Callithrix jacchus: one gene and its partners. Each later gene encodes a partner of the first gene's protein in a complex. Links are inferred from orthologs where the notes say so. Each region holds a gene or a part of one and is shown in the gene's direction. Other genes may lie near its edges.

Region 1 (3,244 bases):
CAAAAAATTAGCTGGGCATGGTGGTGTGCCTGTAATCCCAGCTCCTCGGGAGGCTGGGGCAGAAGAATTGCTTGAACTGGGAGGGGTGGAGGTTGCAGGGAGCCAAGATTTTGCCACCGCACTCCAGCCTGGGCGACAGAGCGAGACTCCTTCTCAAAAAAAAAGAGAAGGAACAGGGAAACTTCTGAGACAGGCTGGGGGAGGCATCACGTAGCTGGGATTGCTGCCCCATAAAACAGAATGATATGTGTCACTGCCACCTACCTTCCTCAGTCCTCTCCCTCCCCAGGTTGCTAGCGTCCCCCCTGGGGGATCAAACTGGACTGCTTCCCAGCCTCAGACAAGAGGGCAGTCTGAGTCAGGCAGGAAAGTGGGACAGCTGGGGAGCTGGACCCCACCCTCTGGAAGCCCCGCTGGTACCTGATGGCATATGGCTTGGAGAGGGCAGGTGACCTGGCATGGAGGGCCAGAGGGTAAGTCCTCAAACAAGTGGCAACAGGCCACCAACTTGAAAGGGAAAATTGTGTAGTGATGGGAAATGTGTTCAACAAACCTACTGGGTGACTAATTACAAAGGCTGGGCTGGAGCGTCAGAGGCTGCTTGTTAAACACTTTATTAAGTGGCACTCCGAAAGCTGCCACCTGTGCATTCTGGGAGCTCAGAGGGGACCCATCTGGGGGATGGAACTGTCTTCAGGTAGACTGAGGAAGCAGCCTGGATCTCATTTCCAAACACAGCCTGGAGCTCATAGGTCAGAGGCCTCATGGGAGAAAATCTAAAGGAGGTAGGGTGCAGAAAAGAGTTTCAGGGAATTGGTGGCTATGTGACTTTGAGCAAATCTCACCCCTCTCTGAAACTTAGTGTACCCATCTCTATGGTCCTGTGTATGTCACAGAGACATGGAGGGGATTAAAGTTGATCATGAATATAAAAGTGCTTGAGAAACTGTATAGCCCTACCTATACATGAATTATTCTCCCCTGAACCAAGCGGGGGAAGTTACCTCTCCGGATTAGGAACCCCATCCTCCTGAACCTTTATGAGCTCTATCAAGGCTGAAGCAGCCAGGGGCTAAAGCCATCCTTAGCCCCTGGAAGGGCACTGTGAAAGAGGATCTGATATGAGAAGCCAGGCAGCTTCCTGATGTGGGCAGTCATGTAATGCCAGTCCTGAACAAGAGGGGGCAGCGTGGAGCCCAGAAAGGCACCTGTGCAGGTGGGGCCAACGCCCAGATTTCTCCTGCTGACTGTCCTGATGACTCACTCCCACATCCCAACCCTTTTACCTTTCATGCAGAGCCGGAAAGGGTGTGGGGAGGAGAGGAGAGGGAGGCAGGTCTTGGGCCCTGGTCCTGCCCCCTGCTCCTCCCCACCCTTCTCAGGGCCTGGCCACCCAGCCAAAAGGCAGGCCGAAAGCAGGAGAGGCACAGAGTCCGGGATTGGTCCCAGGCAGCAGTTACCCGCCGCCCTCCTGTCTGTTCCCAGAGCCATGGAGAGAGCCAGTCTGATCCAGAAGGCCAAGCTGGCAGAGCAGGCCGAACGCTATGAGGACATGGCAGCCTTCATGAAGGGCGCCGTGGAGAAGGGCGAGGAGCTCTCCTGCGAAGAGCGAAACCTGCTCTCTGTGGCCTACAAGAACGTGGTGGGTGGCCAGAGGGCTGCCTGGAGGGTCCTGTCCAGCATTGAGCAGAAAAGCAATGAGGAGGGCTCGGAGGAGAAGGGCCCCGAGGTGCATGAGTACCGAGAGAAGGTGGAGACTGAGCTCCGGGGCGTGTGCGACACTGTGCTGGGCCTGCTGGACAGACACCTCATCCAGGAGTCTGGGGACGCCGAGAGCCGGGTCTTCTACCTGAAGATGAAGGGCGACTACTACCGCTACCTGGCTGAGGTGGCCACCGGTGACGACAAGAAGCGCATCATTGACTCGGCCCGGTCAGCCTACCAGGAGGCCATGGACATCAGCAAGAAGGAGATGCCGCCCACCAACCCCATCCGCCTGGGCCTGGCCCTGAACTTTTCCGTCTTCCACTACGAGATCGCCAACAGCCCCGAGGAGGCCATCTCGCTGGCCAAGACCACCTTCGACGAGGCCATGGCTGATCTGCACACCCTCAGCGAGGACTCCTACAAAGACAGCACCCTCATCATGCAGCTGCTGCGAGACAACCTGACCCTGTGGACGGCTGACAACGCCGGGGAAGAGGGGGGCGAGGCGCCCCAGGAGCCCCAGAGCTGAGTGTTGCCCGCCACCAGCCGGCCCTGCCCTGCCCCCTCCAGTACCCCACCCTGCCAAGAGGACTAGTATGGGGTGAGAGGCCCCACCCTTCTCCCCCAGGCGCTGTTCTTGCTCCAAAAGGTTCCATGGAAAGGGACTGGCAGAGCCGAGGCCACCTGGGGCTGGGGATCCCACTCTTCTCGCAGCTGTTGAGCACACCTAATCACTGGTCATGCCCCACCCCTGCTCTCTGCACCCGCTTCCTGCCGACCCCACGACCAGGCTACTTCTCCCCGATCTTGCCTCCCTCCTGCCCCTGCTGCCTGATGTTAGGAATTGAGGAGTAAGTGTCCCGCCTTGTGCCTGAGAACTGCACAGTGGTAGGGGCTAGAGATTGTGTGTGTGTGTGTGTGTGTGTGTGTGTGTGTGTGCGTGCGCTTGCCAGTGCAAGATCGAGATTGAGGGAAAGCATGTCGGCTGGGTGTGATCATGTTTCCTCTCAATAAAGTTCCCCTGTAACACTCCTCCTGTCTCTTCCAGTTCTTGGCGATGGGCTGGGAGTGGGACTGGAATCTGATTTAGAGACCCTGAACTTGGACCTGAGTTAGGACCCTGACCTCCCTGGGTGCTCAGTGACCCGCACGCAAGACTTTGAGTCCAGGTGAGGCCGGGGTCCAGCTCTGTCCTTCAGGGAGGCCCCACACTGGACGGGCCCGGAAGGGGCCGGTGAACCCACAGGAGGCGCCAAGGCTCCTCTGCCGGGCTGAGGGGAGGTGAGTGGGAGCCGCGAGGTTGACGAGCTCAGGTGGGGCGGGGCAGGAAACAGTGAAGTCTCCGGCGTGAGATCTAAGGACAGCGCCGCAGTAGCGAGCGGCACTGAGCACCCGATTTGCAAGCAGGTCACAGTCTCATCACGGGCTCCGATCTCAGCGGAGGGGAATACCATCTGAGTGAGGCAGAGGTATAGCGCAACCCTAAAACCCCAGATCTCAGGAGAGAGTCGTGTCCCACAGAGTTCGGAGATGCAGA
Region 2 (4,308 bases), on another chromosome or scaffold:
GCCAACTCCTACCCTCAATTCTACTCTCTAGAGGTAGCCATATTTCTTTCTTTTTCTTTTTTTTTTTTTTTTTTTAAGACGGGGTTTCATCATGTTGGTCAGGCTGGTCTTGAACTCCCGACCTCAGGTGATCCGCTCGCCTTGGCCTCCAAAGTGCTTGGATTACAGGCGTGAGCCACCATGCCCGGCCAGCCATATTTATTTCTTCCGTTTCTCTCCAGATAAATTTTAACAATTTTTTTTTTTGTTATTTACAAACATGGGATCATACTATCTGCACTGTACTGCAATTGTGCTTTTTCCATTGAATAATACATAGACCATCTTTGCACATTAGCACACAAATGCACTGCGCTGCTTTTAGTGGATGCAGTGTAGTCCATGGAATGGATTTACCAAAACTTATTCAGCCAATGCCCTGGTGACAGACATTTAAGGGATTTATAGTTTCTGACTAACTGGCAAGTGTGGCAGGTGGGGAAGTGTTCTAGGATTATCACCATGATAGGTGTACGAAAGTGCCCCTGAGACTACCATGGAGGTGAATACACCCTCCTTATGCTTACCTGAAGACAAGTGTCTTGATGGGTAGAACGTCAATAGAATGTAGGACCCAGAAAAACAGACCATCTAGCTGGTTTTCCAAGATTTTTGTGGGCTGCAATACACTTGGATCAAAGGAAATCCTTCTTGAAGGTTCAATACCTAAAACAGTTAAAAAGTCGTGGCTGGTCTGGCATTAGCTGGGGGAGGTGGGGAGGAAGGAAGAGGGCTATGCCTATGAAGCTCCTCAAATAAGAAACCAGATGCATGTGCTTTCTCTGAGCCAAACCATTACCTCTCTGGCTCATATTATGTTAGTAGATTTCTCAAAAGGAAAAGCCACAAGTTTCAGAAACTGTACTCTAGGGTTCTGAGGGGGGCAGAGAGTTTGAGAATCCTTGCTCTAGCCTGCCTCTGCTGATTGAGAAAACGGTAGTGCTGCTGTTGGGCTGAAATAGCTGTTCCTTTCACCGCTTTTGTCATGACTAGTAACTACCGTTTATCTGTTCTCGGCCTCCTTGGAACAGGGGTCTTGCCTGACACGTGCACACTCGCACGTGGCACAGTAAGTGGGACACAGTAGGCACTCGGAAAGTGTTTGCTGTAAACATGAATGAAAAAGGGCGACAGGCTAATAAAGGGTGGAAGGCTTTTGGGGGTCAGCACAGCCCCGGGACGTCCCATTCTCGTGGGCCGCCAGACGCCAGGAAACACGCCGACTCCACTTCACGGCGCCGCGCCCGGGATACCAGAGACTACATCGACTCATTCCCGACATAGGGCGCGCGGCAACTCCGGCGAAAAGCAGCGATAGGCTGTCGCGGCTGCCAATCAGACCAACGGCGCCGCGACTCGGAGACCTCTGGGAGACACGGGTCCCTGTCCATCCCCTCTCCAACTGGCTCGCGTGCTCGCGGGGTACTCTGGGAGATGTGTTTCTAGGAGCGGTCTGCGCAAGTGCATGCGTGAGGGCGGGGCTTCGGGGGTCGGTCTGGCGCGTCCGTCGCGCCTTCTATGAGCCCCTCGGCAGAAGCCGCCGTGGGGCGCCTCCCTCCCTTCTTCAGTCAGCCCGGGACCCCGGCGGGAATGAGGCGCAGGGAGTGTCTCGCTTGACCCCAGCGCGTCCTGGCGCCCTGCGGACACTTCCTCTTCATCCTCGGTCGCTCTTCCCGCATGTCTCCTTCCCGAAGCCCCTTCTCCTCGGGATGCCGGGGCAGAGACCCCCCCCCCGGAGTGGCGCCGCCCTCCGCTCTGGCGTGGGGTTCGCGGGGCGTCGGCGGGAGGGGTCCTGGAGGGAACGGCTGTGCGGGGGCGGGACCCCCTCCTCCCCACAGACGCGCCCCTGACAGTCGTGCCATGGCTCTGCGGACGTCCGAGGACGCTACTGGCGGTTCCTCCCGCCGTGCCCGGCACTGTTACCTCCCCGAATTGCCGGAACAACCCACTTGGTAGGAAACGGAAACTGAGAAAAATCGACTAACTTGCCCACGTCACACGGCCCCAGATATTTGAGTCTCGTATTTCCCACCATTTCGTGGAGCTTCCAGACTCGCCAACAGTTGCAAAACAAGGTGATGAGTGGGAATGGCATAAGCACGGGGCGGGGAGAGGAAGTGGGCAGCACCTTAGAGGGCAGGATTCAACAAACGGAACCTCAAAGGGGGCAGTGTCAGTGCAGCTTCGTAGTTGGTGAGAAACGAAGGGCTGGGCACGGTGGCTCAGGCCTGTAATCCCAGCATTTTGGGAGGCCGAGGCGGGCGGATCACGAGGTCATCAGTTTGAGACCAGCCTCACCAACAAACATGGTGAAACCCCGTCTCTACTAAAAATATAAAAATTATCCAGGTGTGGTGCTGTGCACCTGTAATCCCAGCTACTTGGGAGGCTGAGTCAGGAGAATCTCTTGAACCTGGGAGGTGGAGGTTGCAGTGAGCCGAGATCATGCCACTGCACTCTGCTTGGGCAGCTGAGTGAGACTGTCTCAAAAAAAAATAATAATAATAACAAAATAAAATATGAAACAAATTCCCTGCACTCGCTAACCCTATTATTCTGCTATTTTTTTCTCCAACTTCCTTATGACTTCCGGATACATTATGTATTTGTTTATATCAGTTCACACTTTCCTATAAGAATGTAGGCTCAGGCCAGGTACAGTGAACCACACCTGTAATCCCAGCACTTTGGGACGCTGAGACAGGTGGATCACCTGAGGTCAGGAGTTTGAGACCAGCCTGGCCAACATGGTGATACCCTATCTCTAATAAACTAGCCAGGCATGGGGGTGGGTGTCTGTAATCCCAGCTACTCAGGAGGCTGAGGCAGAAGAATCTCTTGAGCCTGAGAGGTGGAGTTGCAGTAAGCCGAGACAGTGCCACTGCACTCCAGCCTGGGCAACAGAGCGAGACTTGTATTAAAAAAAAAAAAAAAAAAAAAAAGGCTCTTCTGAGTGGGCCAAACGCAGTGGTTCACGCCTGTAATCCCAGCACTTTGGGAGGCCAAAGCAGGCAGATCATTCGAGGCCAGGAGTACCAAACCAACATGGTGAAACCCCGTTTCTACTAAAAATACAAAAATTAGGCAGGCTTTGTGGTTGTGGGCGCCTGTAATCCCAGCTACTCAGGAGGCTGAGGCAGGAGAATTGCCTGAACCCAGGAGGTGGAGGTTGCGGTGAGCCGAGATCGTGCCATTGCACTCCAGCCTGGGTAACAAGAGCGAAACTCCGTCTCAAAAAAAAAATCGTTAACCCTTTAGGTTTCTGAATTTTTTATTTCTCAAGGACTGTGCTGTACAAAACATAATCTCAGCACTGAAGTGACAGCCATCACTGTGATCAGGGGCCAGCTGACAGACAAGCCATGGATGACCAAGGGCCTTTCTTGCCAGCTTGCTCACCCCAGAGAGGGCTGTGGAGTGATTCTAAGCAAAGTGTCTTAGAATATAGTTTGGTGCCTGGAAATTCACTTAAAATTTGAATGATTAGCCTCTCAAAGGCTCAGATCTCTCCCTTAAAAGTAAATATACCGGTGGTGTGGAGGAGTTTGTGTCACAGTGGGATTCATTATTCTCCACTCCAAATCAACATGGGAAATCTTCCACAACCTTCCAACAGCTCTGTCCATTATGTCAACAACAGACCTATTACTCCATCTCAAAAATAAATAAATAAATAAATAAAAACACTTAAATGACATTACAAGGGCGATAATTGTATTTTCACTGTAATAAATTACTGGACCCCCCCACAAACAAAAGCTTTGTGAGCCTTTCTTGCCCTAGAAACTCCCAAGTGGCATCAAAACATTGTCTTCTAGAAGTCCTGCCTTAGAACTGCTTCTGTTGCAAAAACTGTCACCGCGATTGCAAAATGTCCTGATTTAAACCGGAAAGTCCCGTTTTCTGCCCAATTCTGTCATGGGGTTTTGGTCTCAGCTCCGAGAAGTTTTCTGACCAGTCAAGATGGGATCACACAGCACCCATAGCGTCACTACAGAGTCTCATCCTTTCTCCATCTGGGAGACTGCCCGGGAGGAGCTGGTCCCAGTGATACCCCAGTCAACACCCTTCTTCTGGCTCAGCCTAAAAATTCCAAAAGTCTGCTGTCTATGCCATCAATGTGCATTTCGGTTCACTCCCTTTTTTTTTCCTTGAGACTGGGTGTTTTGCTGTGTCACCCAGGCTGGAGTGCAGTGGTGCAATCACAGCTCATTGCAGCCTCAACCTAGGCTCAAGCAATCTTCCCGCCTCAGCCTCCTGAGCAGCAGG
Region 3 (4,231 bases), about 9.3 Mb from region 1:
TTCCTCCTCTAGCTTCTGCCAGCATTCCTCAGCTAGTGGCTGCATCAATGCCAGTCTCTGCCTCGCTGGTCACGTGGCTTTCTTCTCTGTGTGTGTCAAATCTCCCTCTGTATCTCCCTTGTAAGGACACTTGTGATGATATTTGGAGCCCATCCAGACAGTCCAGGACAATTTCCCCATCCCAAGGTCTTCAATCACGTCTGCAAACAAAGACTCTTTCTGTATGAGATAACTTACAGAGTTGGAAGTAGAAGTTCAGCATCACAAAGAAAATGATCACTCAAAGAAATTCTCAGCAAGGCAACTTTACTTCTGCAGAAGGGTGCTGCCTATAAGCCTGTTTGCATGAGATCACCCGAACAAAGGAGAGGAGGGCTTTTTATCCCTAACACATGGGGCTTCTAGTACTGTGTCCAGCCTCCGTTGTCTGGAGCTGGACGGCACAGTCTAAGCTAAACCCCGATTGGCTAAAAGCTGAAAAGTTTCCTAAATAGATGAAGGCAACGGAGAACAAAGAAAGGGAGAAAGTGTTTGTGAAAAGACTAGGAAAGCAATAACATGTCCAAATAAGGAAAGGAGTATATGTTACAAGCTAGGACATGCCTGGGCATGTCCAGGCATGCCCACGCAGATCAGGAAACAAGTGGGTTAGGCCTTTAGAAATTAAAGAACAAGGGAACAGAATATGCCTTATTTGACTTAATTGCCTTCCTTTTTGAGGAAGAACTTCACTGTATCTATCATACAGGTTCCAAGGACCTGCTATCTCTTGGGTGCCATTATTCCACTCACTATGGGTTGGAGATTACCAGCTGCAAGCTGCAGCCGGCAGAAGGGGAAAGAAATAAGCCAGGCACCTCCCTTGCACAGCTCTAAGCCTTGCACCTGCATAACCTCATAGGAAAGGATGAAGATCTCCCTTTATAAAACCAAGTCTTGCATGGGAGCAAACTTTCCAACTCCTGAATTGAGAATGTTTGGTGACTGTTTTTTGCCTGGTTCCTGGAAACTGATTCTTAGATGGAGATTTACCTGCAGGAGGTTTATGGGGGGGTGCGGGGGAAGGTGTTCTCAGGAAGCCCACCTGGGAGGGAGTGTGGGGCTCAGATGCAGTTGCCACAAGGTTTCAGGCAATGCATGGGGTAGCTTGGGGGCTGGGGAAGGGCCTCAGAGTTGTCCTGCATTCAGGCGAGGCAACCTGGCCTCTGTTGCCCCACACTGGATGTGGCTGTCCTCAGAAGGGGACACAGTCAGGTGCTAGGCAGCTCCTAGGCACAGAAGGCAATTCCAGAAGAGAGACACCCACAGCAGCTGGGGGCGTGAGTGTCTCCTCCTAAAGGGGGTTGTGGCAGCTCCACACAGCACCCACCACAGCACCCACCACAGTGACCTCAAGTGATCATGGGACTTCTGATGGCTTAAGCGTGATGAGCAAACCTCACCGAGTTGCCGAGAGAGAACTTCGTGCATGGAATAAGCATGTGAGGAGTGCGGGGTCAATACCAAGTTACTTTATGACCATGTAACCCAGGCAGGTCCAGCCAATGCCACTTGGAGAGTCAAGCCCAGTAACAAGAGCAAAATATGGTAGAAAGTAACTTCATTTACCCCACCTAGCAATGGCAGAGTGGGTGGATTCACTTCAAAAGCAACCACTGTGGCTTTCTTGGGTGAAGGCAAAGGTTTAAGAAGGGAAACTCAGCTGGGCCTGGTGGTTCACGCCTGTAATCCCAGCACTTGGGGAGGCTGAGGTAAGCAGATCACCTGAGGTCAGGAGTTCGAGACCAGCCTGACCTACATGGTGAAACCCTGTCTCTACTAAAAATACAAAAACTAGCTGGCGTGGTGGTAGATGGCTGTAATCTCAACTATTTGGGAGACTGAGGCAAGCGAATTGCTTGAACCTGGAAGGCAGAGGTTGCAGTGAGCCGAGATCATGCCACTGCACTCCAGTTTAGGTGACAAAGCAAGACTCTGTCTCAAAAAAAAAAAAAAGGCTGGGCATGGTGGCACATGCCTGTAATCCCAGCTACTCAGGAGGCTGAGGCAGGAGAATTGCCTGAACCCAGGAGGCAGAAGTTGTGGTGAGCTGAGATTGTGCCATTGCACTCCAGCCCGGGTAACAAGAGTGAAACTCCGTCTCAAAAAAAAAAAAAAAGAGGGGAAACTTGGTATAGGAGGCATGCAGGAGTTGTACGGGTACAAGGTCTGTGTGTCATGTCTCCATGGCTAACTCGGGGTCTCAGCCCCCAGAGCACAGGCTGACGTCATCTCAGCAAGTCGCTGAGTTGCTGGCTGCCTGGAGGTAATCTCTTGAAATTTGCCGCTGGGCCTCTAGGCTTGGTCTGTCTGCCTCTAGGTTAGCCCCTGGAACTTCTTTTATTATTATTATTACTATTACTATTTAGAGACAGAGTGTCATTATGTTGCCCAGGCTGGTCTCAAACTCCTGGGTTCAAGGAATTCTTCTGTCTCAGCCTCCCAAAGTGCTGGGATTACAGGCATGAGTCACCACATCTGGCCTGGAACTTCTAAGTAAGCACATAATTAGATACTAGCACATAGTTAGATGAACGTGAAGGAGCTTTATGGTGGGAAAGGGAGGGACGTGGAGTCTATTTTAAGGTTAAGGGAAAAGGCTCCTGCCGTTTGCTTTAAGGCTACATCTTGAGACTAAAGAGAAAGAGAAAGGGAAAAAGAAGTTGTAAAGTGCATTTGAAGTTAAGCTGCTCAGTTACAATCATAAACCACCCTGGAAGCCCATTGGGTTATTATCTTTTTAGGGGGGAAACAAGGAGGTCATTTAGTCATTTGCTCCACAAGGATTTGTTGAGCACCTACTGTGTCTAAGGCTCTTTTGCTGGGGATTCAGTGGTGAATAGGAAGACCCTGGAGGGGAGCAGGACATGCTCTGGGTCTAAGTCCCTTTCATCTCTGTCCACCAGGCTGGGCGCGGAGCCTTCTTCACTGTGCTCAGACAGCCTGGCACAAGGTAGGGCTGTGCCAGAGTAGGGACGGTCAGAGCTTCCAGGCTGCTCTCCTCCAGACCCTAGAGCCTGGACTGGGCCTCAGCGACCCCTACCCAGTCAACCCATCTTCTCTCTCCAGGCGCCTCTGGCTGCTTGCGCACTAGGGTGGGTGAGCCCTTTGGGATGAGTCTCTCCGGAGCCTCTGCAAGCTGAGCACCTCCTGCCTATTTAATTTTGCCACTTTCAATCCAACCAGATGGGTGTTTTGGGTCTTGCTGACCAACCCCTGCCTCCAAGAGCAACTAAAACAGAGCCATCCTTGAGAGTTTTGTTGCCTGCTTAAAACCTGCAGGGAGGGGATTGTTCACTTCACCTTGCAAATTTAATCAGCCTAGCTGACCGAGCAGTCTTCACTCAGTACCTCATCTTCATCTCCTGTGCTGGGTATGCCCAGTGACTCTCAGAGCTTTGCAAAGACTGAAAACAAATGCTACATATATTACGGTACGACCCTATGGAAATACACAGCCATACAAAGGGGTAAGGCTGCTTTTTTACATACTGATATGAAGAACTTCTCTCCAGTATAACTGTGAAGTCAAAGGGGCAAGGTATGAGTCATTTGTAGAGCAAATGACTAAATGACCTCCTTGTCCTTCCCCAAAAAAGATAACCCAGTGGGCTTCCAGGGGCATCTTCACTGAACTGAAGAGTTTTTAATTGTGACCAAGCAGCTTAACTTCGAATGCATTTTACAACTTCCTTTGCTCTCCAGTGTCAAGATGTTACCTCGAAGAAAACTGCAGAAACCTTTTTCCCTTAACCTTAAAATAGGCTCCACGTTCCTCCCTTTCCCACCGTAAAGCTCCTTCAAATTTATCTGTGTGCGAGTATCTGAGGAGGAGGAGAAGGATCATGCATAACATTTACGTGGAAAGACATAAAAGAAACTGGTAACACTGTCACTGCCTCCACCTGCAGGTGAGTAAGAGACAGGGCAGGAGTGAGCCCTATTCCAGAATAAGCACGACCCAGACTGGGCAACATAGCAAGACCCCATCTCTACAGAAAAATGTAAAACCATTAGCTGGACATGGTGGTGTACATCTGTAGTCCCAGCTACTCAGGAGGCTGAGTCAGGAGAATCACTTGAGCCTGGGAGGTCGAGGCTGCAGTGAGCCATGATTGTGCCACTTTACTCCAGCCTGGGTGACAGAGTGAAACCTTGTCTCAAAAAAAAAAAGAAGAAGAAAAAGCACAAC
Region 4 (4,236 bases), on another chromosome or scaffold:
TTTTAAGAGTTGGAAGCTGTCCTTTTGGGCAAGATATTAAAAACCTTACTGTCCATCTTCTATTCTGAGTGGTCCCATCCCTCTAAAAGGAAATGCCTTCCATATTCTTCCTAAAAAAGCAAAGGCATAACAAAACAAAACTGGAAAACTGTTTCTTCTGCTCCCTGAGACACAAGGGCCATTATCTTCCTACCTTTGGCCCCACTGATCCTTGACAGGATGTCCTGGACCTGCAGCCCAGATGAGGAAAGATGGGGTGTGGGTGGGGGTTTGACTGACGCACACAGCAAGTAGCCTCAAGAACTTGGGGGTGGGGCAGGCTGCGCCCCAAGGCTTTGGTCCTATCCCCCGCCCCCCCCCGCCGTTTTTACTTAACACCCGATCACTTCCGTTGTAAATATAAAATAACAAACAGTTAAATTTAATTAGGGGTAGGTAGTAAAGTGTCTTGGTTCTCGATAACTGCGTTCCTAAGCCCTTCGCTGCGGGCCCTGAACTCAGTGGACGAAGCTGGAAGTTCCCGCCCAGGGGAAGAAGTTCCCACGGAGGGCAGGCGGTTGCGGGTGCCTTTGGATCCCTGTCTGCACTGAGACCGGAGTACCTCCTCCGGGCGCCGGAGTCCCAGTTCCTCACGTTTAGCCCTTTAAAAAAGGTCAAGGATACAGTAAATCCGGCTGGGGGCTGCTCGGCTGGGCGACGCGTCCGCAGCTAGACAGAAAGGCACAGGCTGAGCCCGGGGGTGCGGACAGGTGGGCGCGGGGCGCGGAGAAGGCACCCTAGGCGCGGACTCCACCGCGGGGGGCCGCGGCGCCTGGGGCGGGGGGCGCGTGCCGCCCGTGCGGGGGCCGGAGGACTTGACAGATCGCAGCGAAAGAAAACATTCAACCAAAACAAAACCCAGCGATTCCCCACGTTGCTCAGCAAAGACTTCGTGGGTGGAGCCAGGAGGGAGCTACTGGGTAGAATTCTGCGCGGCCGCCTCCGCCCGTCCACCCCGCGCCCCCGGCCCCCGGCCCTGCCCGCTCGCGGGACTCGGCCCGCAGCCGAGGTCAGGGCGTAGCGAGCGCCTCGTCCCACCCGGGCTTCCAGAGTACTCGGCTCTGCAGCTCCGTAGTAAACAAAGTGTCGCCGCCACCTCCACGCTGGTTTGCTTCCTAGCAATCAAAACACTGAGAAGGCGAGAGAATCACAGAAACACTCGAGAATTACCAGAAAATAACAGAGATCCAAAAAAAATAAAAAAGGTGTGTGAAAGAGAAAAACACCCCGCTACCCCCACCAGCCCACTGCCGCCTCCCGGCGGAAAACCGGGCCCCGCCCAGCCCGGAGCGCACTGGCTGCCCGGGCGGCGGTGCCGCGTGCCCATTGGCTGCGCGAACTGTCGGTCAGGGGCGGGCCGGCGCGCGCGTCGCCGCGGGCGGGGGGCGGCGGCAGATCCCGTAAGTCGGGCGGCCTCGTAGTTGCTGCAGCCGCCGCCGCCGCCGCCGCCACATTCAACAGGCAGCAGCGCAGCGGGCGCGCCGCCGGGCAAAGCGAGCGGCCGCGGCGTCCGTCCGTCCTTCCGTCCGCGGCCCTGTCAGCGGGAGCGCGGCGCAGGCTGTGCCCCGGCTCGGCGGCTCCGGCCCGCCGTCCAGTCCGTGCGGCAGACCCCGAGGAGCCTGGATGTGGATGGCCCCGCGAAGTTAAGTTCTGGGCTCGCGCCTGCACCCCGCCGCGCCTTCCTCCCAGTGTCCGTCCGCTCGGCGCACCGGCTTCGTCCCCCCAAATCCCGGACCGTCTCTTCGCGCCCCCTCGCCCTCTGCCCCCGGTGCTGCGCTCTTCCCCTCTCGGCTCTCTCGCGGCTGGGGGAGGGGCGGGGGTCACCATGGCCGAAGCGCCCCAGGTGGTGGAGATCGACCCGGACTTCGAGCCGCTGCCCCGGCCGCGCTCGTGCACCTGGCCGCTGCCCAGGCCGGAGTTTAGCCAGTCCAGTTCGGCCACCTCCAGCCCGGCGCCGTCGGGCGGCGCGGCTGCCAATCCCGACGCCGCGGCGGGCCTGCCCTCGGCCTCGGCGGCCGCTGTCAGCGCTGAGTTCATGAGCAACCTGAGCCTGCTGGAGGAGAACGAGGACTTCCCGCAGGCGCCCGGCTCCGTGGCGGCGGCGGTGGCGGCGGCTGCCGTGGCCGCCGCCGGGGGACTGTGCGGGGACTTCCAGGGCCCGGAGGCGGGCTGCCTGCACCCAGCGCCGCCGCAGCCCCCGCCGCCCGGGCCGCTGCCGCAGCACCCACCAGTGCCCCCCGCCGCCGCCGGGCCGCTCGCGGGACAGCCGCGCAAGAGCAGCTCGTCCCGCCGCAACGCGTGGGGCAACCTGTCCTACGCTGACCTCATCACCAAGGCCATCGAGAGTTCGGCGGAGAAGCGGCTCACGCTGTCGCAGATCTACGAGTGGATGGTCAAGAGCGTGCCCTACTTCAAGGATAAGGGTGACAGCAACAGCTCCGCGGGCTGGAAGGTGAGCGGCCTCGGCGCGCGGCCGGACCTTGGGGGCGCGGTGGGGCAGGCGAGGGCGCAGCTGTGCAGGTTTGCTCGGCCCGAGGGTGCGGGGCAGGAGGGCAGCGCGTGCCTAGGAGGGCGGGCGCGAATCGGTGGTCGCAGTGGGCTCGCCCGGGTCCGTCCGGGACCGCAGTAGGTGTGCGCGCGCGCCAGAGTCCGCGTGGGACGCGGACAGGGGTTCGTTGGGGAACTAAGTAAAGAACGTGCGTCAAGAAGTGGACGTCAGAGCGGCCGAAAAGTTTGCCAGTGAAAGGAGAAAGGGGTTCGCTGGGAGCGGCACCCCCACGGCCCGCGCTGACTGCTTCGGCTGCCCCTTCCCTCCTTGACCTCCGCGGGGCGAGGGCGGGTCCTCTCCCGCCGCGCCGCGAGGCTGTTTCCGCCGGGCGCGGCGGGGGAGGGCACGGAAAGGGTCCCCGGAGCCTCCCTGCCCCGGGACGGGGCTGCAGGTGGAGGGGACTGGCAGAGCGCGATCGGCTGGGGACGGTGTAAGTCCGGCCACGCAGTTTCGGGAGGCGGTGCGCATTTTGCTTTGTTTTGGTTTTCTCCGGAGTGGCCTCGAGTTCAGGGGGCCGGGCGTCCCGATCCCGAGGTGGCGCCTCCGACACGTGCGAAGGGGCGGCCACCGCCTGCGGAGCGCCGGCGCCCGGCCGCGCGGGGCGAGCTAAAGTTCAAGTGTGACCCTCGGCGGGGGCGGGCGCGGGCGGTGACGAGGGAGGGGCTCTGGGCGCAGGAAGCTAGTGCCTTTAAAGGGCCAGCGCGTCCGGGTCGGGCGCCTTGGGGCCCGCGCTTCCCCATGGGGGAAGCGCCCGAATCTGGTCTTGCCCCTGGTACGAGGCTTTTAGTTAGAAACACAGAGGCTGCCCTGGGGTGCCGGGGGCTGGGATGTGTGCGTCTTTTCCTGCCTTGCTCTACCCTATTCTTGAGCGGGGAGGTCCAGATGGGGGAGCTGGGGGCCAGACGAGGGGCTTTGCGACCAGTGTTTTGACGGAGTCGGAGTGGCGGTGCGCGTTGAGGGAGCGGAGCCTGGAAGGAGGATTTTTGCCTTTCAGAACGTGGCCAGGAGGCACTTCAGCGTGGGGGCAGGCACTTACCGACTCCGAGGAGGGCCTCGGCTAGGTCCGGGGAGGCTTCCCGGGGGCGAGGTCCAGTCGCCGCGCGGCCTCCCCAAGCTGACAGTTTCTCACTGTCACCGGTGGCAGAACTGCTGTAAAGGCTGACTAGTTGAGTAAACACTGTTTTTTGAGACGGAGTCTCGCTCTGTCGCCAGGCTGGAGTGCAGTGGTGCGATCTTGGCTCACTGCAACCTCCGACTCCCTGGTTCACGCGATTCTCTGCCTCAGCCTTCCGAGTAGCCGGGATTACAGGCAGGAACCACCACGCCCAGCTAATTTTTGTATTTTTAGTAGAGACGGCGTTTTACCATGTTGACCAGAATGGTCTCGATCTCCTGACTTCGTGATCCGCCCACCTCGGCCTCCCAAAATGTTGGGGATAACAGGCGTGAGCCACTGCGCCCGGCCGAGCTAAACACCTTTTAAAACAAACTTTCCTCGCCTCTCTTGTCGACTGTATAGCATAATAAAGATTGGTGTTTGCTGCGCAGTTGTTAAACCAAGGTTATTTTACATAGTGTCGTCCCTGTGGTTAAAGCGTGTCAAAAAGGTTAAGTTACTCACACCGTATTGAAGCTCCTGGAGGAGTTCA
Region 5 (4,007 bases), on another chromosome or scaffold:
GGATAGAGAAGGGAGGCTGGAGTGGATGCTTGCCTAGGCATAATTTAATTATTTATTTATTTTGAGATGGAGTCTCACTCTGTTACCTAGGCTGGAGTGCAGTGGCACAATCTCAGCTCACTACAACCTCCGCCTCCCAGGTTCAAGCAATTCTCCCTGCCTCAGCCTCTGGAGTAGCTGGGATTACAGACACATGCCACCACCACACCCAGCTAATTTTTGTATTTCTTAGTAGCAGTGGGGTTTGCCATGTTGGCCAGGCCGGTCTTGAATTTCTGATCTCAGGTGATCCACCCACCTAGGCCTCCCAAAGTGCTGGGATTACAGGTATGAGCCACCGCACCCAGCCTAGGCATAATATTTAATGTATATTTGAGATCCGTCTTGGGACCATCTCCCTCTCTTATCCCAGCTAAGATGTTGAGAGTACAGACTCCTGGTTATAATTCTAACTCCACTAGCTGCTTACTAGCTGTGTTTATCTAACTTCTCTGGGCCTCAATACTCTTTAGTCGCTATGCCAATGACTGTGGGACTCTGTGTGACTCCGGGAGTGTGTCCATCAGGTGAGTAGGATTTCTATAAATCGAGGACCATTGGTGCTTGACCATGGTAGGAAACTTCCTGAGGTACTGTAGGGAGCAGGTGGCTCTCTTTAACTGCAGGACTGACCCGCGGGTGTTTTTACCGCGGCTGGCGAGTGTCTGCTCAGGAATAAATGGATGGGTGAGGCCGAGTGAAGGAGATTACGCCCCCGCCCCCGGGCTTCCCATCCCCAGCCTTGTAAAGGGGAGGGGACAGTGGTGTGGCTAGCGGGAAGGAGTGCTTTGGTGTTTACAGGCCCAGACTTGAACTGAATCCTGGCTTTGCGACTTACGAGCGGCAGGATCCTGGGCGAGTTCATTTACTCAGTTCCTCTTTGTAAAACGGAGCTGGTAATACCCATCTTCCCAACCCTACCCCAGATGTTTGTGTTGAAGAGTAAGCGGAACCCTTGATTCCAGAACCTAGTGCAGCTAGCGCCACTTGCCCCAGGAGCCGAGGGGGCGGGGGTTGGGGATGCCGGGTTCTGGCCGCGCAGAGGCTGCACGTGGGCGCCAAGCCCCCCCGCCGGTGCCTCCCGCGCGCACTCGGGATCCAGCGCCAATTTACACCAATCCCGGAGCAGAGGACGGCTTGTGCGTGAGGGGGCCGGGCGGCTTCAGAGAAGGCGGAGTCCGAGCGGAAAGCGAAACCGAGAGCTAGCTCTCCAGAAGCCGAGGGTCTCCGGCTGACAGCGGTGGCAGTGGCAGCGGCGCAGGTGAGCCGGGCCGTGGGCAGCCGAGGGAACGCGGGGGGCGGGGGATGGGGATGGGGGCGCGGCGGGCCAGGGGCTGCGGGCCCAGCCGGGGCAGGACCCGCCGATCCCGCGTCCCCAGCTCCGAACGCCGACGCTGATCCGCAGTCCCTGGCCCGGGTTGTGTCAGCAGTGGGAGCGCAGTCCCAGGCCCACAGCCCGGGTGCAGCCCTCTCCGAATCCAGGAAAAGGATCGTAGAGTTGGGTGGGGACTCAAAGCCATTTCCGTCCCGCAAAACATTTTTATCAGTGCAAGTAACATATTTCCCAGGCAGCAGTCGGGGGGCGGAGTCTAGTGGAAGACCAATAGGCCTAGTGGCTTGACACATGGAAATTATGGAGGCCTGAAATACTCATAGACTGCGTAAACAATCTCTGGCTAAAAATCTCTTGCATGGAGAGTTGCAGTAGTTTCCCAACTGCAGTTCCTATTCCCACTCGTCTCCTCACCCCCAGCCTCCACCCACTACCTCTTCTCCACACCTCAGCAACCGTAGTGTTCCTTTAAGTAAGAACCAGATGCTCCCCTGCTCAGACCTTCCCCATAGCTTTCCTGTCTCATCAGAATCCTATAAATGTTTATTAAGACTCACAGGCAAGGCCTCTTGCACCTCTACTCCGGCCACACTGGCTTCCTTGCTGCTCCTGGTGCAAAGCCAAGCATCCTCCCGCCTCTAAGCCTTTGCATTGCCTGTTTCTTCTTCCTGGAAAGCTTTTCCTCCAGACACCTGCATGGGGAAAGCCCTCCCTTATCCTGGACTGCTTCCCATGCCAGCTTATCAGAGCAGCCTTCCCCAAACAGCTTGCATATACAAGAAACCCCACTCTGCCCTCACTGCTCCCCCTTCCACTACCTCGGTTTTCAACATAGTGCTGATCACCCTCTGACATTTTCTTGTGGGTTGTTCCTCCACTGGTAATCTCACAATTACCTATAGCAGGGTTCACTGGTATAGCCCCGCACCTAGTACATAATAGGTGCTCATTAAATATTTGTTAAATGAATGGTAATTTGTAAACTCCCTTTTGAATTCCAAAATAATGAGGCTTCCTATTGCCCATGTTTCATTCTTTCCTACCTTCCCTCCCTTCCTCTTTTCTTTCTTTTCTCTTTCTCTTCATTTTCTTTCTTTTCTCCTTCCCTCTCTCTTCCTCTCTCTCTTTCTCCCTTTCCCTTTCCTTCCTTCCCTTTCTTTCCTCTACCCTTCCCCTTCTCCCTCTCCCCTCCCCTCCCCTTCCCTTGCCTCCCATCCTCTCCCCTTCCCTCCCCTCTCTTTTCAAGATGGAATCTCACTCTGTCACCCAGGCTCCAGTACAATGGGGTGATCTTGGCTCACTGCAACCTCTGCCTCCTGGGTTCAAGAAATTCTCCTGCCTCAGCCTCCTGAGCAGCTGGGATTACAGGCACACACTACCATGCCAAGCTAATTTTTATATTTTTAGTAGAGAACAGGGTTTCACCACATGGGCTAGATCACATGGGTAGATCACCATGAGGCGATCTACCTGCCTCGGCCTCCCAAATTGCTGGGATTACAGGCATGAACCACTGCCCCTGGCCCCATGTTTTCCTTAGTACTAAAAATGCTTTGCCAGATAGAAGCTAAAAGACAGGCTCTCTGCTGTCACTTAGGAATTTAGAATGTTGGGCAAATAATGCTGTTGTTTTTCAGTTTGCTTATTTGAACCTGGAGATCCCAAATACTTGACTATTTATTTATTTATTTATTTAAGACAGAGTCTCACTCTGTTACCTAGGCTGGAGTGCAGTGGTGTGATCTCAGCTCACTGCAACCTCCATCACCCAGGTTCAAGTGATTCTCCTGCCTCAGCCACCCAAGTAGCTGGGATTACAGGCATGCACTACCATACCTGGCTAATTTTTGTATTTTTAGTAGAGATGGGGTTTCACCATGTTGGCCAGGCTGGTCTCAGACTCCGAATCTCTGGTGATCTGCCTGCCTTGGCCTCCCAAAGTGCTGGGATTACAGGCATGAGCCACCGTGCCCAGCCGTTTATTCATTTATTATTCAGATACTAGTTGAAGGCATGATCTATGTGAATCAATGTGCTGGCCCTAGATGGAGACTGTAATCTGCTAGAAGCGAGTGAAGAAATAGCCAAAGTAATTTCTGGGCATTAGTAAGATGGACAAATATTATTTTTTAGTGATTATGATAGAGATTTCTTCCAGATGAGTAAATAAGATGTAGAATCTGCTCCCCAAAGAGCTTACTAATTACTTTAAAAAGCAGTCAGGGCTGTGATGAGGGTTGGGTAAGGTGGAATGACAGGTCCATGGAGGGCTACTAGCTGAGTCTCCAGGATCGAAGGAGGATGTGTTGATCTTGATAGATGAGTGGAGATTGCTGGGTCCAGAGAGAATGTAGATATTACAGTATAAATGTAGAGAAAAACAGGTGATACATTCTGGAGAGGGTATCTGGAGAGATTTTGGTCCTCATTCATTCATTGTGGAGCCTGGTCCTTTACTTCTAGTAATTCATGCTCTATTTTGGAAAATAGTTAAACAAGCAGTTTTAATAAAGAGCATGCGCATTATGAAAGAGCCTGTGAAGGAGTGTCTGGGATTTTGAGCTGAAATCTGTAGGAAGTAGAAATTGACTGGGCCAAGACAGCAGAAGGAGTGGAGTCAAGAGCATTTTAGGAG

The links. Proteins that work in one complex are often made in the same cells at the same time.
Region 2: the proteins of SFN (region 1) and MEFV are in contact, whole or in part, in a crystal structure (PDB 8C28), measured with the Homo sapiens proteins. The link is inferred for Callithrix jacchus from reciprocal best matches to the Homo sapiens genes SFN and MEFV. Residues at the interface, in NP_006133.1 of Homo sapiens: Glu14, Cys38, Asn42, Leu43, Ser45, Val46, Lys49, Arg56, Arg60, Glu115, Phe119, Lys122, Arg129, Tyr130, Pro167, Ile168, Gly171, Leu174, Asn175, Val178, Tyr181, Glu182, Asp215, Ile219, Leu222, Asn226, Leu229, Trp230; in NP_000234.1 of Homo sapiens: Arg205, Asn206, Ala207, Ser208, Ser209, Ala210, Gly211, Arg212, Leu213, Gln214, Gly215.
Region 3: the proteins of SFN (region 1) and PADI6 are in contact, whole or in part, in a crystal structure (PDB 4DAT), measured with the Homo sapiens proteins. The link is inferred for Callithrix jacchus from reciprocal best matches to the Homo sapiens genes SFN and PADI6. Residues at the interface, in NP_006133.1 of Homo sapiens: Lys49, Arg56, Arg60, Lys122, Arg129, Tyr130, Gly171, Leu174, Asn175, Val178, Tyr181, Glu182, Leu222, Asp225, Asn226, Leu229, Trp230; in NP_997304.3 of Homo sapiens: Phe443, Tyr444, Pro445, Ser446, Ala447, Glu448.
Region 4: the proteins of SFN (region 1) and FOXO1 are in contact, whole or in part, in a crystal structure (PDB 8A62), measured with the Homo sapiens proteins. The link is inferred for Callithrix jacchus from reciprocal best matches to the Homo sapiens genes SFN and FOXO1. Residues at the interface, in NP_006133.1 of Homo sapiens: Tyr19, Ser45, Lys49, Asn50, Arg56, Arg60, Lys122, Asp126, Arg129, Tyr130, Glu133, Gly171, Leu174, Asn175, Val178, Tyr181, Glu182, Leu218, Ile219, Leu222, Asp225, Asn226, Leu229, Trp230; in NP_002006.2 of Homo sapiens: Pro20, Arg21, Ser22, Cys23, Thr24, Trp25, Pro26, Leu27, Pro28, Arg29.
Region 5: the proteins of SFN (region 1) and EIF2AK2 are in contact, whole or in part, in a crystal structure (PDB 7OBK), measured with the Homo sapiens proteins. The link is inferred for Callithrix jacchus from reciprocal best matches to the Homo sapiens genes SFN and EIF2AK2. Residues at the interface, in NP_006133.1 of Homo sapiens: Lys49, Arg56, Lys122, Asp126, Arg129, Tyr130, Glu133, Gly171, Leu174, Asn175, Val178, Glu182, Leu222, Asp225, Asn226, Leu229, Trp230; in NP_001129123.1 of Homo sapiens: Asn546, Glu547, Arg548, His549, Thr550, Cys551.

The regions. Positions count from the first base shown.
Region 1 is NC_133508.1:63,511,712-63,514,955, forward strand, and holds SFN (14-3-3 protein sigma), read left to right. Parts: upstream 1-1,426; 5' UTR 1,427-1,489; coding exon 1,490-2,236; 3' UTR 2,237-2,739; downstream 2,740-3,244. UniProt on the Homo sapiens protein: Adapter protein implicated in the regulation of a large spectrum of both general and specialized signaling pathways. Binds to a large number of partners, usually by recognition of a phosphoserine or phosphothreonine motif.
Region 2 is NC_133513.1:5,411,139-5,415,446, reverse strand, and holds the start of MEFV (pyrin), read left to right. Parts: upstream 1-1,504; 5' UTR 1,505-2,114; exon of another isoform or gene 2,115-2,167; intron 2,168-4,308. UniProt on the Homo sapiens protein: Involved in the regulation of innate immunity and the inflammatory response in response to IFNG/IFN-gamma.
Region 3 is NC_133508.1:54,253,187-54,257,417, forward strand, and holds the start of PADI6 (inactive protein-arginine deiminase type-6), read left to right. Parts: upstream 1-1,427; coding exon 1,428-1,481; intron 1,482-4,231. UniProt on the Homo sapiens protein: Structural constituent of cytoplasmic lattices, which plays a key role in early embryonic development. Cytoplasmic lattices consist in fibrous structures found in the cytoplasm of oocytes and preimplantation embryos.
Region 4 is NC_133506.1:159,848,051-159,852,286, reverse strand, and holds the start of FOXO1 (forkhead box protein O1), read left to right. Parts: upstream 1-1,432; 5' UTR 1,433-1,864; coding exon 1,865-2,491; intron 2,492-4,236. UniProt on the Homo sapiens protein: Transcription factor that is the main target of insulin signaling and regulates metabolic homeostasis in response to oxidative stress.
Region 5 is NC_133515.1:77,831,447-77,835,453, forward strand, and holds the start of EIF2AK2 (interferon-induced, double-stranded RNA-activated protein kinase), read left to right. Parts: upstream 1-1,203; 5' UTR 1,204-1,300; intron 1,301-4,007.